Linked DNA regions of Neurospora crassa OR74A. The protein of the gene in region 2 purifies or fractionates together with the protein of the main gene of each other region. This does not show direct contact. Links are inferred from orthologs where the notes say so. Each region holds a gene or a part of one and is shown on either strand. Other genes may lie near its edges. The genes, in order: NCU03050 and arp-3.

What was found.
Region 1: the proteins of arp-3 (region 2) and NCU03050 purify together in Saccharomyces cerevisiae (affinity purification with western blotting; 6 studies listed by BioGRID, with this or other methods). This does not show direct contact. The link is inferred for Neurospora crassa OR74A from reciprocal best matches to the Saccharomyces cerevisiae genes ARP3 and ARC35.

The regions. Positions count from the first base shown.
Region 1 is NC_026501.1:8,290,056-8,297,075, forward strand, and holds NCU03050 (ARP2/3 complex 34 kDa subunit), read left to right. Parts: upstream 1-3,104; 5' UTR 3,105-3,346; coding exon 3,347-3,411; intron 3,412-3,508; coding exon 3,509-4,173; intron 4,174-4,224; coding exon 4,225-4,325; intron 4,326-4,381; coding exon 4,382-4,510; 3' UTR 4,511-4,513; exon of another isoform or gene 4,514-4,644; intron 4,645-4,729; exon of another isoform or gene 4,730-4,766; 3' UTR 4,767-4,795; downstream 4,796-7,020. Other genes in the region: NCU03049 (flavin-binding monooxygenase), read right to left, coding at 4,796-5,688, 5,864-6,051, 6,119-6,280, 6,354-6,549, 6,633-6,652, 6,738-6,806, 6,894-7,020.
Region 2 is NC_026502.1:2,533,626-2,540,148, reverse strand, and holds arp-3 (actin), read right to left. Parts: upstream 4,123-6,523; 5' UTR 3,931-4,122; coding exon 3,896-3,930; intron 3,813-3,895; coding exon 3,790-3,812; intron 3,723-3,789; coding exon 3,495-3,722; intron 3,446-3,494; coding exon 3,399-3,445; intron 3,342-3,398; coding exon 3,255-3,341; intron 3,193-3,254; coding exon 2,359-3,192; intron 2,303-2,358; coding exon 2,237-2,302; 3' UTR 2,075-2,236; downstream 1-2,074. Other genes in the region: NCU01757 (asparaginase), read left to right, coding at 5,135-5,364, 5,419-5,618, 5,690-6,523. UniProt on the Saccharomyces cerevisiae protein: Functions as ATP-binding component of the Arp2/3 complex which is involved in regulation of actin polymerization and together with an activating nucleation-promoting factor (NPF) mediates the formation of branched actin networks.

The DNA.
Region 1 (7,020 bases), on a different chromosome or scaffold from region 2:
ACGGGAAGTGGTATATACGGTACGTTACTTATTCCTATTATATTTAAATTTCTATAAGATACTCCCGCTTTTACCTTATAGTATCCAACCTCTACCCCCTATATTATATCTTTCTTCCTTCTATATTCTATTAATTATTATATTTTTATATTGAAAGATTTAAATTACTATTTTTAATTAATTTTATTATTATATTATATTGTTATATTATTTTGTAATATTATTTTATTAATATACCGGTTTCCTATTTTTACGAATATTGGTAATTAAATATAAGTAACGTTATTCTTACTTTAGAATTATATAAAGATAATTAATATATATTCGCTAGTATATATATAATAGGTAGAGGATTTGATTGCTAATATAGTAGAAAAGTTACTCTTATTGTAGTTGCAGCTCTATATAAACCTTAAAGTAGGCCTCCTAGTAGTAAGAATAAAAATAAATTTCGAATTACCGCTAATATCACTACTATCCCTCCCCCGCTTTAGGATATTACTTAGGTTTTTATTATTTAAGTTCCTCTTAATATTAAGGTTCCTACTATTATTATTATTACCCCTAAGAATACGAAGCTACGTAGAGGCCCTAGTAGACCTCCCGGTAGTAAGAATAAGTTTCGAGCTGGAAGTACTAATATTTCTACTACGGGGTAGGATAAAATTGCTGCTATCCTTCCTATTTATATCCTTAAATAGAAGAATATAATTGGAAACATTGCCTTAGATATTGCTAATGCTATAGCCGGTAAAGGTTTCTACCTAAATGGTTATTATAAGCTATTCCTTTAATAATTTAAAGCGGCTAATAAGAGTAATAACTTAAGTAAGGGCCTAATATTTATAATATTTATTAGTAGTATTACGGGAGTTTTAAGTATAAATAAGAAAAAGTTTTCGTGTAATATAAAAAAGGAATAGGAAAAATATTATAATAAATAGCCAAATATAGCTCGCTTCTTATATTATTCGGCTATTGAAATACGGGTTATTAATTATAACGGAAATATATTTTTACTTAGGGTTAAGCTTATTAAGAACGACGATTTTTCGGAAATTTTACTTTATACTAGTAAGTTTATTTTAATATAATTAAAAATATACAAAGTTTCTTACCTATTCTATACCGCTATTATTATTAATAACCTTTATAGTCCGAAATTTAAAGCTATTGTAACCCTTTAAGTTACTACTACTTTTACTCCTACTAAATATAAATATAATTACCCCCCTAAGGTTAAAAGAGAATTGGAGTAGTAGCTTCTATATATATTCCTAGTTCCTTCTACTATTATTCTACTTATTCCTATATACGGATAATTACTAGAGAATATATTAGACTATAGTATATTAATTAAAGAATAAATATATATTTTTAGTATTAAAGCTATTTAAGGTAGTAATGTTGAATCCGACGACGGTGGATATAGAAATTAAAAGAGACGTTATATTAAAATTAGAGAAAACGAATATAAATAGTATTTTTATAACGCTAATAATTATAAATAACCTTTTTATAATATTAATAACGATAGCGAAATTCTATTAGGCGGTAATATTATAGTAAGTAGAAATAACCTTCTTAGTTATATTGCTCCGCTGGGTAGTAATATTCCTAGTTCCTCAAACTTTATCCCCGACTATATTACTCCGCCGGAGGTTTTTGCTTTGAGTTTTAATTTTACTATATTTATGGAGGTACCGGTAATTACTTAGTCCCCTAATAAGTTAGAAGAGATTTCTAAGCCTCCTCCCCCTAATATTACTATATTTACAATTATTTAGTCCTCCAACGAATTAGAAGAGATCCTAGAACCTCCTAACTTCTATAAGTATAAAGGAGAGTATAAAATAGTTAATTAAATTACTAATTATAAATACAATTTTATTAAATTCGAAGGCGAAATTTAAGTTTCCGATTTAATATAAATAGAGTTTGTAGAGCGCTATTATTGTAGGGTTGATGTAAATAATCTTAATGGCTTCTACGAACTATGGATTCTAAATCGATATTCTATTAATACTTCTTTAGATTTAATGAAGAATATTAAAGAGGCTAGAAATTAAATTCTAAAAGATAGTTGTGGTTAGTATAGAATACCCTCGCCTAAATTCGAATTCCCGACCGAATACCTTAATAAATTTCACCTCTCTAAGGAAGAATAATTCCGGAGGATATTCGTCGCTAATAGTTAGCATTAGCAAAACCTACAATTATATATATATTAGGCTATAGTACCCCTCGATCTTCTTTAAGTTATTTTTTTTCTTTCATTTTTATAATATTATCCCGGGTTATTATTTACAATTAATTTTATACGTTGTTTTTATTTAAAGCCGGAGCTAGAGTTTCTTATTTTCTTTTCGCTATACTCTCCTATTGTTATATTTATATTAAGGAATATATATTTTATACTATTATATTGAAATAGTTATAAAGGAGGCGTACTTAGAGTAGGCGAATATTATTAACTACCTATATAGTACCTATACTCCAATTTTCTTATATATATAAGTTAGAGTTTTGGCTTATAATTATTAAAAAAGGATAGAAATGATAGGAACTATAAAGAACCTCCGCTAGGTAGCCCAAATAGGTAATTTAATATAGCGCTTTCTCCCTTACTACTTACCTCTATTAATATAAATATAATATTACTTAAAAATTATTGTAAAATAATTGTAAGACTTTTAGTAATTAGAATATATACTAATTATTAAATAGATAAATATAATTAAATAATTATTATATTAATAAGAATATTAGCCTGCAACTAGTAATTCAAGCGAGTATATATGTTATATTGCACATTTTGTGGCTTAGGTCGCATTATTGTAGTACAATTTGCTGTTGTTATACTTTTGTACGCTGTTGAACGGTCAACTCCGTTTCGTACCCAATACTACGTTAATAGTCGCTGTACTATTAATTAAAACTATACATTGCAAAATAAAACCAATTTTAATATAATAATATTCAACTATTTAGTAGATTACAGTAAGAAACAATACTGTATAAGGATGTTGCAGCCCACAACCCCTGCTCAAGCGTTTTATACTACAAAGGCCTGCTACGCCCACTTTTGTCAGACCCCCCATTCCCTCCAGGGCCTTGTTGGCCCATTCCACCTGCAGCTGCTGAGGTGCCGCTGGAGGTGCTGCTTGCTCTGTACACTAACACTGCCCGCCCGTGCTGAGGGAGGTGACCGCTCTACATACCTCTAAGATTGTAGCTACCTACCTATCACGGCCCCACCCCCGACACTTGAACACACTACGCAACTGACCCGACCCGGCTTCAACAACTCGACGGCGCCGGATATATACGAGGAATCACAGTCAACATGCTCCTGCTCGACTACCAGAACGTCCTGATTCAGGCGGTGCTCACCGAGCGTTTCGCTCCTGGGTATGTTTACCACGTCTCCAGCCCGAACGCGCAGTGCGCCTGTCCGCCCCTGAACTTGCACTGACGACGCTGCCGCCGCCGTCACCGCGCATTCCAGAGCTTCCCCCGTCAACATCGACCAGACTGTCTCCGACTTTGACGGCGTCGTCTTCCACATCTCCACCCCCGAATCCAAGACCAAGATTCTCGTCTCTCTCCAAATTCGATGCTTCCAGGATCTCGTTCGCTACGGCGCTGAGCAGGTCCTCAACCGCGAATATGCCGATCTCGTTGTCCCTCCCGAGGCCGGCTATGACTTTTCCATCCAGGTCGACCTCGAGAACCTCCCCGCCGAACAGGAGGCCCGCGATGCCCTTGTCATGAAGATTGCCTTGTTGAAGCGCAATGCCATGGCCGCGCCCTTCGAGCAGGCCTACCAGGAACACTACGCCCTAAAGGAGGAAGCGTCCAAGTTTACATCCGAGGAGGCGCCACAGGGTGTCCGTGAGGGTGGAGAGGTCAAGGCTATTCACTACCGAGAAGAGGAGGCTATCTACGTCAAGGCCAGCCACGATCGTGTGACCGTCATATTCAGTACCATTTTTAGGGAAGAAACGGACAGAGTATTCGGCAAGGTCTTCATCCAGGAATTCGTCGATGCCCGGCGCAGAGCCATCCAGAACGCCCCCCAGGTCCTGTTCCGCAACGACCCTCCTCTCGAGCTTCAGAATGTTCCGGGGGTGAAGAATACTGGTACAGGCGAGATTGGTTATGTCACTTTTGGTATGCCACATCGTGAAACAAGCTATATCTGGGATTGACTAACGGTAGCAGTCCTGTTCCCTCGCCATCTCACTCCTCAGCGGATGCCCGATGTTATCTCCCATATCCAGACCTTCCGCGACTACTTCCACTATCACATCAAGGCCTCCAAGGTAGGTGCATTGGGAAACATGCTACGCAGAGATCTCCATCTGACATTCCATCCCAGGCGTATATCCACTCGCGTATGCGCAAACGCACCGCCGACTTCCTCCAGGTTCTCCGGAGAGCCAGGCCCGATACCGAAGAAAAGGAGAAGAAGACAGCAAGCGGAAGGACATTCAAGGCTGGCGCTTAAGGAGTTCGTGCAGCGGTTTGTGTATCACGTTACTCTGCCTTTACTTGAAACCCGTCATGTTAGTCTATCGGCAAAGGCGGCCGAAGATGACCACTTACAGCTACCACCAAAGACAGACAATATTAATCACTACCCTAATCATTCCACTCGATTTACATAGTGAACGTTGATCTTGCGGCTTTCCGATATACCTGGCACACCGGAGTTCATTCTAGCCCAAGATACGTGAAGATTGCTTTTGGCTAACTAGTTTCAGCTAGAAATTTCCTATAACCGCCACCGCCCTCAATGCGACCATGGCTTCGACTTATACTTTGGGTTCTCCTCCGGCTTGCCCTCCCACGGAAACTCGATTTCCTCCGGATTCAAATACCAACTCGGATCGCCCTCTGTCTGCGTCAAACTCCATCCATTCCCCAACCACCTCAGCCCATTCCCACTTTTGTCAGCACCCTCATACATCCAGTCCTCCCACCTCGGGCTCCTCAGCGTCTCAACAGCATGCTGCGTCGACCCGGGCCACAGCGCCACGATCCTGTTTCCCGTCCCACCCTCCGACCGATACCAACTCTTGCACTTATCCAGGTACACCGTATCCTTAAAGTAGGCATCCACAAAGGCCACAAAGTCCCGCACTCGTTCCGGCTTGGGCTCCATGGACGCGTAATCCTCCTTTTGTAATTTGCGGATTACCGAGACGATGTAGTCTACCTGCGCCTCCAGGATCCGATTCAGGCTGCCGAACCCGATGGTCGTATTTGGGCCGAACAGCATCAGATAGTTGGGGAATCCGTCGACGGCTAGACCGAGGTAGCTATCGGGGTGTTGGGACCAGCGGGAGGCGAGGGTAAGTCCGCGCCGGCCGATGATGGGGAAGGGTGGGGAGGTGCAGGCTTGGAAGCCGGTGGCAAAGACAATTACGTCGGCGTCGATTATCTGTTTCTTTCCTTCCACAGTGGCGAGCGCGATGCCGGAGGAGGTAATGTGTGAGATGGGGTCGTGAATTGCTGTCACGTTGGGTTGTTGGAGGGCTTCAAGGTAGCCCCTTCCTGGAGTGAGGCGCCGGCAGCCAGGGGCGAAGGCCGGGATGATCTTGGCTAGCAGGTCGGGACGAGCCGACAGCTTGGATTCCATGTCCGCTTTGAAGAAAGCTTGTCCCTCGATGGTCATCGGGTGGCCTGCCATGGTGGAGTTGTGGAGGGAGGTGCCAAAGTCTTCAAAAGCTTTGCGGAATTTGAGGAGGGCGGGGCGTCGGAGCGGAAGAGGGCTTTTTGTTCTTCGGTGACTGGGTATAGGTTGTTAGGCTCTTTTGTTCACGGAGAGGTCCGTGATCTACACAAGATGAAAACTTACACTCGGTTACTTTGGGATCCAGTCCTAGGTCTTTCATGGTGTTATCACCAAAAGCTGACGATATCCAGGTCGGTGATCGTATGAAACATGAGAGCGTCGTTCCTTCGAGTTTCTGGAGCTTGGGAACGATCTGGATGGCACTGGAACCGTTACCCACAACAGCGATCTTCTTGTTGCGGAGGTCATAACTGTAGGTCAGTTAGCACGACACCTTTTCAGGACTGCCTCTGAAAGGCCAGTCAGACAACCTCTTACCTCTTATCCCACGCCCCCGAATGCATCTTCTTCCCCTTAAACTGGTCAATTCCCAGAATATCCGGCCATCGCGGCTCGCTAAGCTGACCTCGAGCCGTAATCAGCACGTTCGCCGAATCGGTAAACACCTCTCCGGTAACCAGATTCATGACTTTGAATTGCCTTTCCGTTCACGTTCTATTAGCCTGTCTGTTCTATTTGACGTGTGTGAAACTGGTCTGAACTTATAACGAACCATTTCTTCTGCCCATCGTCCCAGACACATTCCTCCACTTTATGTGATAACTTGATGAACCTCGTCGCTCCGAATTTCTCAGCCACGTCCTGCAGATATTTCTGGATCTCGTGGCCTGGCGCATAGAGGTTGGACCAGTTCGGGTTGGGCGCAAAGGAGAATTGGTATGAATGAGAGGGGATGTCGCAGGCGACGCCTTTTGTTCGTTTTAGCTGTCGGTTAGTTGATCTGCTTTGGTTTCCTACTCCTGTTTGGGGACCACGACCAGGTCGTACATACCTGGATATGTGTTCACCCACCTTTTTGTTTCTTGCAGTATCAGTGTCTTTGCTTGGTGAATGACTGGCGGTCCAAATGAGTTCATGAGGAAAAGCGTGGACTTACCATGTCCCTCCGACGCCTTCGTATTTCTCATAGACCACTAGCTCGACATTTCGTAGCTTCTCTGGTATTCTTCACAGCACACCCATGTTTGTCAGTATTGAACCGGTGGTACAACTATTTCATCAGCCTAAAGCGGGAGGTAGGGAAGCAACTCACCTAATCGCTGCCCCGATACCACTATACCCAGCGCCAATGACAACTACCCTCAACGGTCTAAGATTTTCCACTACCGTGTCTTTAAGTGTAAACTTTTTCTTGAGGTCACTTCCGTCCATGTGCCCGT
Region 2 (6,523 bases):
GGCGAGGCTAGTGGTGGCTCGGTGGGAAGACAAGTCGGACGTCTGGCGAGGCAGGGGCCGAGACCCTCAACTGGAGGGTTAGAGTCTTGGTGTGTGTAGATGGACGAGAGAAAACGTATGATGTCGATGGGCGAGGCGGGACGTAGAGGATGTGACGGTACGGGGAGCTCCCACTGGCCAATCGCCCATTGTCTGCCCTTTTCCATCAGCCCGGTGGATACCCCTCTCAAGCCCCCCCATCCAGTCCCCGTCAGCAGCTTGATTGATCCAAGGGAAGCTTCAATGGAGTTGCTGCATCGGCCGGTTCAAGGTTTCCGAAGGTTTAGAGAGAAATTGAGAAGCCAAGAGGGGAGATCTCCGCTTCTGTCAACTGTACATACAAAATGCGGGGGAGCTGGCACTCGGACGCCAACAGTTGGAAGCAAACAAGGTCACGAGCTCTTGTTAGATGAAGCTGATCATGCACTAAGCTATTAGCATAGTGAAGGTCCCCCGGTGTTGATGTGCAAAAGAGGAGAAAGCTAAAAGGAGGACTGGGGGAAATCGTGGGCTCTTGGCGCATGTCGAGCGCGATCGTCCCAACTTGGGCACGAGTGATGTAACTGAAGAGATGGAGGCTGGGATGAGACCTATGTTAGCTTCAGTGAGTGTGGAACTGGCGGGAGCGCTGAGTCGAGTGATGACAGCGGGGGTGCCCGTTGGGGGACAGCCCGCCCTATCCAGCCTCAGCGGAGCCCGGCTAGTGTCGCCCGGACCATCGTTAGGTTGTTCTCGTGAGGCGCCACATGGAAACGGCCCTTTTCCCGCTCATCATGTCAACAATGCCGTGAAGCACCTGAGGTTCTGGTCCCATCTCGTGGTTTATGAGACGCTTTTGCCAGTCATTATGGAGCGGCCGAAATCTCACCGTCCCTGCTTATTTTTGTGGGAACTTTCTCATCAACCTCACTGTTTGTCGCAGAACCAAACACCCGGTGGTCGGCACCTTGGATCCGAGTACAGTCTTGGATACGGTGTTTGCCTAAACTAACTAAAGTCGTTGACAGCGCGCGGGTCCGATCCGAGACCCCGCCGTCATGTTCCACCCCCACACTTTCTAGTGTGGTGTAGTGTACTGCGTACCTATACATAAACGACTTTCCGCTCCACCGAAGTGGAAGCCACTGTCTCGAACCCACCACTACATACGCTACACATTGAAACCTGTGCCAACCACTCCTCCTCCTTCTCCTCCTCCTCCACCTCCTCGTCGAAGATCTCGTGGACGTCGTGGCTCACCCTTTCCCCGCGCCTTTGTCAACGCTGGTTGGGTTGGTGGTAAAGCTGAAACGGAGGCTGATGGAAATAGTATGGATCAATTATCGTTTCCAGCAAACACGAAGGAAAACAAAAGGAAAAAATAAAAGTCAACTTCCGCTCGAGCGAAGAAGCCTCAAAACAGCAAACTTAGCCGGTGCAGGTGACGAGGAGGCTTGGCTTGTAAGCCACCAAAGGACGGTCTGGAACCCCTGGTTTCAGCGACGAAGCTTCTTCCCCGCATTCTTGTCGTACTACCTACCCTACCTACCCATACCTATGGTACCGACCTCTATGAAGGCATGCAGAAAGTTGCATAACCTTTTGCTCCTTGCCCGGCGCAAAGTAAGCAATCTGATCACTGAACCCTCCAAACTGTGAATGCTCTCTGGGAACACGGTCGGTTTACTGTGAGGTGACGTCCGAGCATGTCAGGCAACATCTTTCAACATGACAATCGAGCCCAGTCCTGATTAGAATCTAATCAATGGGCTGAGAATAGGAACAACATTGAAAAAATGAAGAGAAAAATCAGCAAGTTGTGAAACTGATGCGAAGCTATCGGTTAGCTTGCCCGATGGGAGTTCGGCCAGTTCCAGAACTGTCGGGCCATATCAGGCCACCCGGCGCGAACCGGTGGTCGTGGTGCTGACACATCCTTGCTTACCGAGAGTTACAGTGAATGCCGTCAATGGCTTGGCACGCCGCCTCCGGAACCAGCCGATCGGTACCATTAAGCCCCCCTTTTAAGGGGACCGTTGCTCTGCGCAACGGATTCCTAAACATCAACACAACAACAGACACATTGGCCGTCTACGCTGACCCAACTTCACTAGCATTAAGTAGTTCCTCTTTTCTATTCATCGCCATTATATAAGCATCGGCGCCCGCTGCCTGCCAAATAAGATGCGGACTCGCTCCTGTACACAAATAACTACGCTTAAGATCCACCAGGTCCTCCGAGCAGAGCGAACCTGCGCACGATGCTGGGTCCATATTCTTGGTACTGTAAAGATCCGTCAGCAACCAGACTGCCAATGGTAAAAGGGTAAAGAAACATACCTCTGCCTTGGTGTGGCAGTACGACCGGAACTCGGGCGTCTGACCGAGCAAGCTACCACCAAACCACGGGCCGTGCCGTTGCCTTTTGTGGGTGATAACCTGGACATCAAGACCACCGCTCTTTGCTCCACCGCTGCGCACCTCGCTGGCCTTGATTCGCGTATCGACAAGCTGCTTGATATCGCGCTGTAGCCTGCGACCAAAGTCCTTGTAGAGCGTGCTGCCACCCGAAAGAACAATGTTCTTGTAGAGACCACGACGGACATCGATGGGCGAAGACTGAATGACACCATCAACAACCACGGGCAGGGGCGTAAGGAAATCGGACGAGTAAATCTCGGGGTTGAAGAAGATTTCGGGCGCCATGAAACGCTCGTAGCCAACATCAACCGTAACTTGGCGGCCACCGGGCTGGGTAATGGTGTGCTTCAGGAATCGGCTGCGATCGCGGTCGTACTTGGCAAACTCCTTGACAATATCCGGACAGACGTAGCAGTACTCCTCCTTGATCTCCTGGGCCGTCTTGAGGGACGAATCGGGCTCGCCGCGGTCACGGAGAAGCGACTGGACAAAGTAGGTGATATCGCGACCGGCAATAGGGATCGACTTGATGGACGAGCCGATAACGTAACCTTCGGCGACCGGGATAACGTGTGTCACACCATCACCCGAATCAATGACAGTACCGGTCAAGGATCTGTCCTGGACCTTGGATGATGTCCAGGAAGCCGCAAGGGCCAGAACGGCCTGGACGGCAATGTAGAGACCGGCGCAGTTGAAGGATTCGAAGAAGATCTCGGCGGTGTTTTCGCGGTTCTCGGGAGGGTTGAGAGGCTGAATCGACGTGTCAGTGCTGCAGACGTAGTACTGATGTGGCTTGGAAAGTGTAGTCTTACGGGCTCAGTGAGGAGGAAGTGGTGGTCCTCAGGCTCTACTCTCAGATACTTGAAGATGGAGTTGGACCAGAACCTTTCCATGTGATCCTAAGCTCCAGTTAGCTCTAGGCATTTGTGACATGCCATCTAGCAGCCTGAACGCACCCAGTTCTCGATCTGTCCGTGTCTGATGGGATAGTGCAACCCGTAGCCTAACACCGTCAGCACCCATTTCCGTTGAGGCGGTGTAGACCAACGTACCAGGTCCATTGGCGGCCGCTACGGCCTCGTCGCCGATAAAGTAGTCGAGGTCTTCGGTTCCGCGCTTTGCTGAGAGATGGCCACCTGGACCCGCGCCGCCGGTGAGGAAGGATGGCTTGTTGGCTACGGCGGGGCGGCCAGAGCCCGAGCCGCCGGTGCCTGCCGAGGGGCTTTTGGTCGCGATGGCCGTCGGGAATACGAACGAGGGGGAATCATTGCCGGCGAAACCTGCAGACGACGAAGAGCTTGGTCAATCGGTGGTCATTGGATATCTTGGGGTGTCGGAGTCGCGAACCTAGCTTGGAGAACCCCGTGCCGCTGGTTAGGGGATGTTAGCGATGACGGCCCCGGAGCTGTTAAGGAGCGGGCGGGGTGGAGACGGGACACTTGGATGCACGTACTTGTCCATGACAACGGCGGGGGTTGTGTTGGCCATTGTTGCGGTGGTGTGCTGCTACGCGCAGCTCGTGATGATTGCGGTTTGGTAAAGCAACGGCTGTTGTTAGTTGGTGATGGATGAAGTGACGGGGCGGGAGCGTGGATGGGTAGTGGATAGGCCAGGCGGGAAATGGAGGTTGATGTCCAAGATTGTACGTGCCTGGCCGAGCTAGCTCTCCTTACTCGTCTGGCTGACAGCGCTGCGTGGTACTGTGGAGGTACCTGTGCGGCTGTGCGCCAAGACCGCGAGGTCCCCGTATGGTACGGCGGTCCATTTAGTCAGTTGTGCATTTCCAGCGACGGGACCTACGCCATAACTGGAGATGACGGAACCAAACACCTCGCTGCCACCTGCGCGCCATCCGAGCCCCCCGAAACCTAACCGATGCCCCGGTCCCAAGCATCGGAGTTTGAAGCACACGGCCCGGGCCCGGACGATGATGGCTAGGAAAAAGTGGGGCCGATCGGTATCAAAACTGTAGCGACAAGGCCAGCCAGACAGGATGTGTCCTTCTAAGAAGGAAGGAGATACTGAATGGAAAATCACCTCCAGCCAGATTCCCTCACACCTGCCATTTCTGTCGGATTCATTTCAGCTTCATCCTCTCGAAGCAAGTCCACTTTGCGGAGAAGCTACACACACTCACAGCTTCTCACTTATCACAACGAATCATCAACCTGTCCAGTGTCCACATTCCGTTTCGTCTCTCTCTCCGTCTCTCTCTCTCTGTCGTATTCTGTATTTTGCCACCTTTGCCTTCACACATCTTCATCCCGCCCACCTACTGTATCCAAAGGGACTCTTCACCCCTCGGGCCACCCTGAGTGCATCATCTAGCTCATTGGGCATCGCTCCAATCTCAAATACCCCTCAAGACATTATCACTACCGAGCATTATTCCCATTCATTGTTTTAGCAGGTTGCTTTTACGAGGGACACCAAGTCCGACCACCCTTTTCATCTCATCCACCCGTTCCGATCTTCTCCAACTCTTCGCCCTTGCCTCGATAAGTCTTTTCGCCCATCTTTGTCCCAAGGCACAAAAGTCACCCATGACACACCAAAACTAAGGACTCTATGTGCCCTCAGAATACAGACTCGCTTGAAAGACACATGCTCGATTACCAGACAACTCGACCTCGCCAGATCACACGCTGCTTCGACTATCTCCTCGAGTCGTTCTATCACAGCTGCGCCCACGATGAGCAGCAAAAATGCCGAGCCCGGCCATGGGTCACCTGAATCAGATATGGACATGTCGGACAGCTCCTCAGAGTCAAACTGGTCTGGTGATCATGAATACGGATTGGACGGTGGTGTCGAAAGGATATGGAAGCGTACGACGAAGCCAGTTGCGGCAATCTTTGTCCACGCAGGTGCAGGGTACCATAGCATTACGAATGAAAAGGTTCACTTGGAAGCATGCAGCGAGTAAGTTGAGTCAAGAGTCATCAGGTGATCCCTTGCTGATGCGGTTGTAACTAGAGCCTCCCGTGTCGCCATGAGGTTTCTGAAAGCCGGTGCTTCTGCCCCCGAGGCTGTCGAAGCTGCTATCAGGTGTTTGGAGGACAAAGAGATTACGAATGCCGGCTTCGGAAGTAATCTCAACATGGATGGAGTTGTCGAATGTGACGCAACTGTAGTCGACCATCTGGGGAGGAGTGGTGCTTGTGGCGCTGTTTCGGGTACGCCCAAACCGACAGTGCCACATATGAGCGGCCAGAAACGACATGCTGACACTCGTTGACATATGCAGGCATCAAAAACCCCATCTCGCTTGCCAAGTTAATTCTGGACAAAAGTAGTCAGCCTCTTTCCCTCCGAAGAGTACCGCCGAATATTCTCGTGGGCCTCGGAGCTAGGGACTTTGCCGAAGAACACGGGATGGCTACCGTACCAAACGAATACCTCATTTCCAAGAACGCAAAGGATCGTTTTCTCCGCTGGAAAGAGGACTTGAAAAAGGCGGAAGCAAGACAGATTACTCAAAGTAGTAACTCCTCTCACATCTCACAAGTGTCTCTGAGAAACCTAGAGACACATCGCCCGTCGCCGACACCGAGTGACTACGAAAAAGCGGCGGAAACGCTAAACGCGTCGACTTTGCGACGGGACCACTCGAGTGCGATTTTGACTGGGATATGGAACGAAGGCCAACCCGACTCACCATATGGTAGAGGGTCCCCTTTACTGGGTGAAAATGGATCACTTGGAAGTGTCCCTTCAGCCATACCTCGCCCACCTCAGAGAAGTCTCACCAACGGAAGCAAGCCAGTCGATCGAGCTGCCATGAATTACGTGTCAGGTGCTTTTCAGTCACGCGCCAGTACTGGAAGCCCAGCCGCCATGAAGAGGGCAGTGGTACGTCACAGTCACAGTGAAGATATTGGCTATTTCCCGGCTACTGGGGAAACCCCGAGACGATCTCCGTCATTGTCAACTCATGATGGGTTTGTGAGCGTAAAGGAAGACCACAACCAGAGTCTGAACACCATGGAGAACCAATCGGAGGAACACTCACTTTCGCCCGCCCAGATCAGCGACCCGATGTTTTCGAATGCACCGAAGCAAAAGGAGGACGAAGATCTGA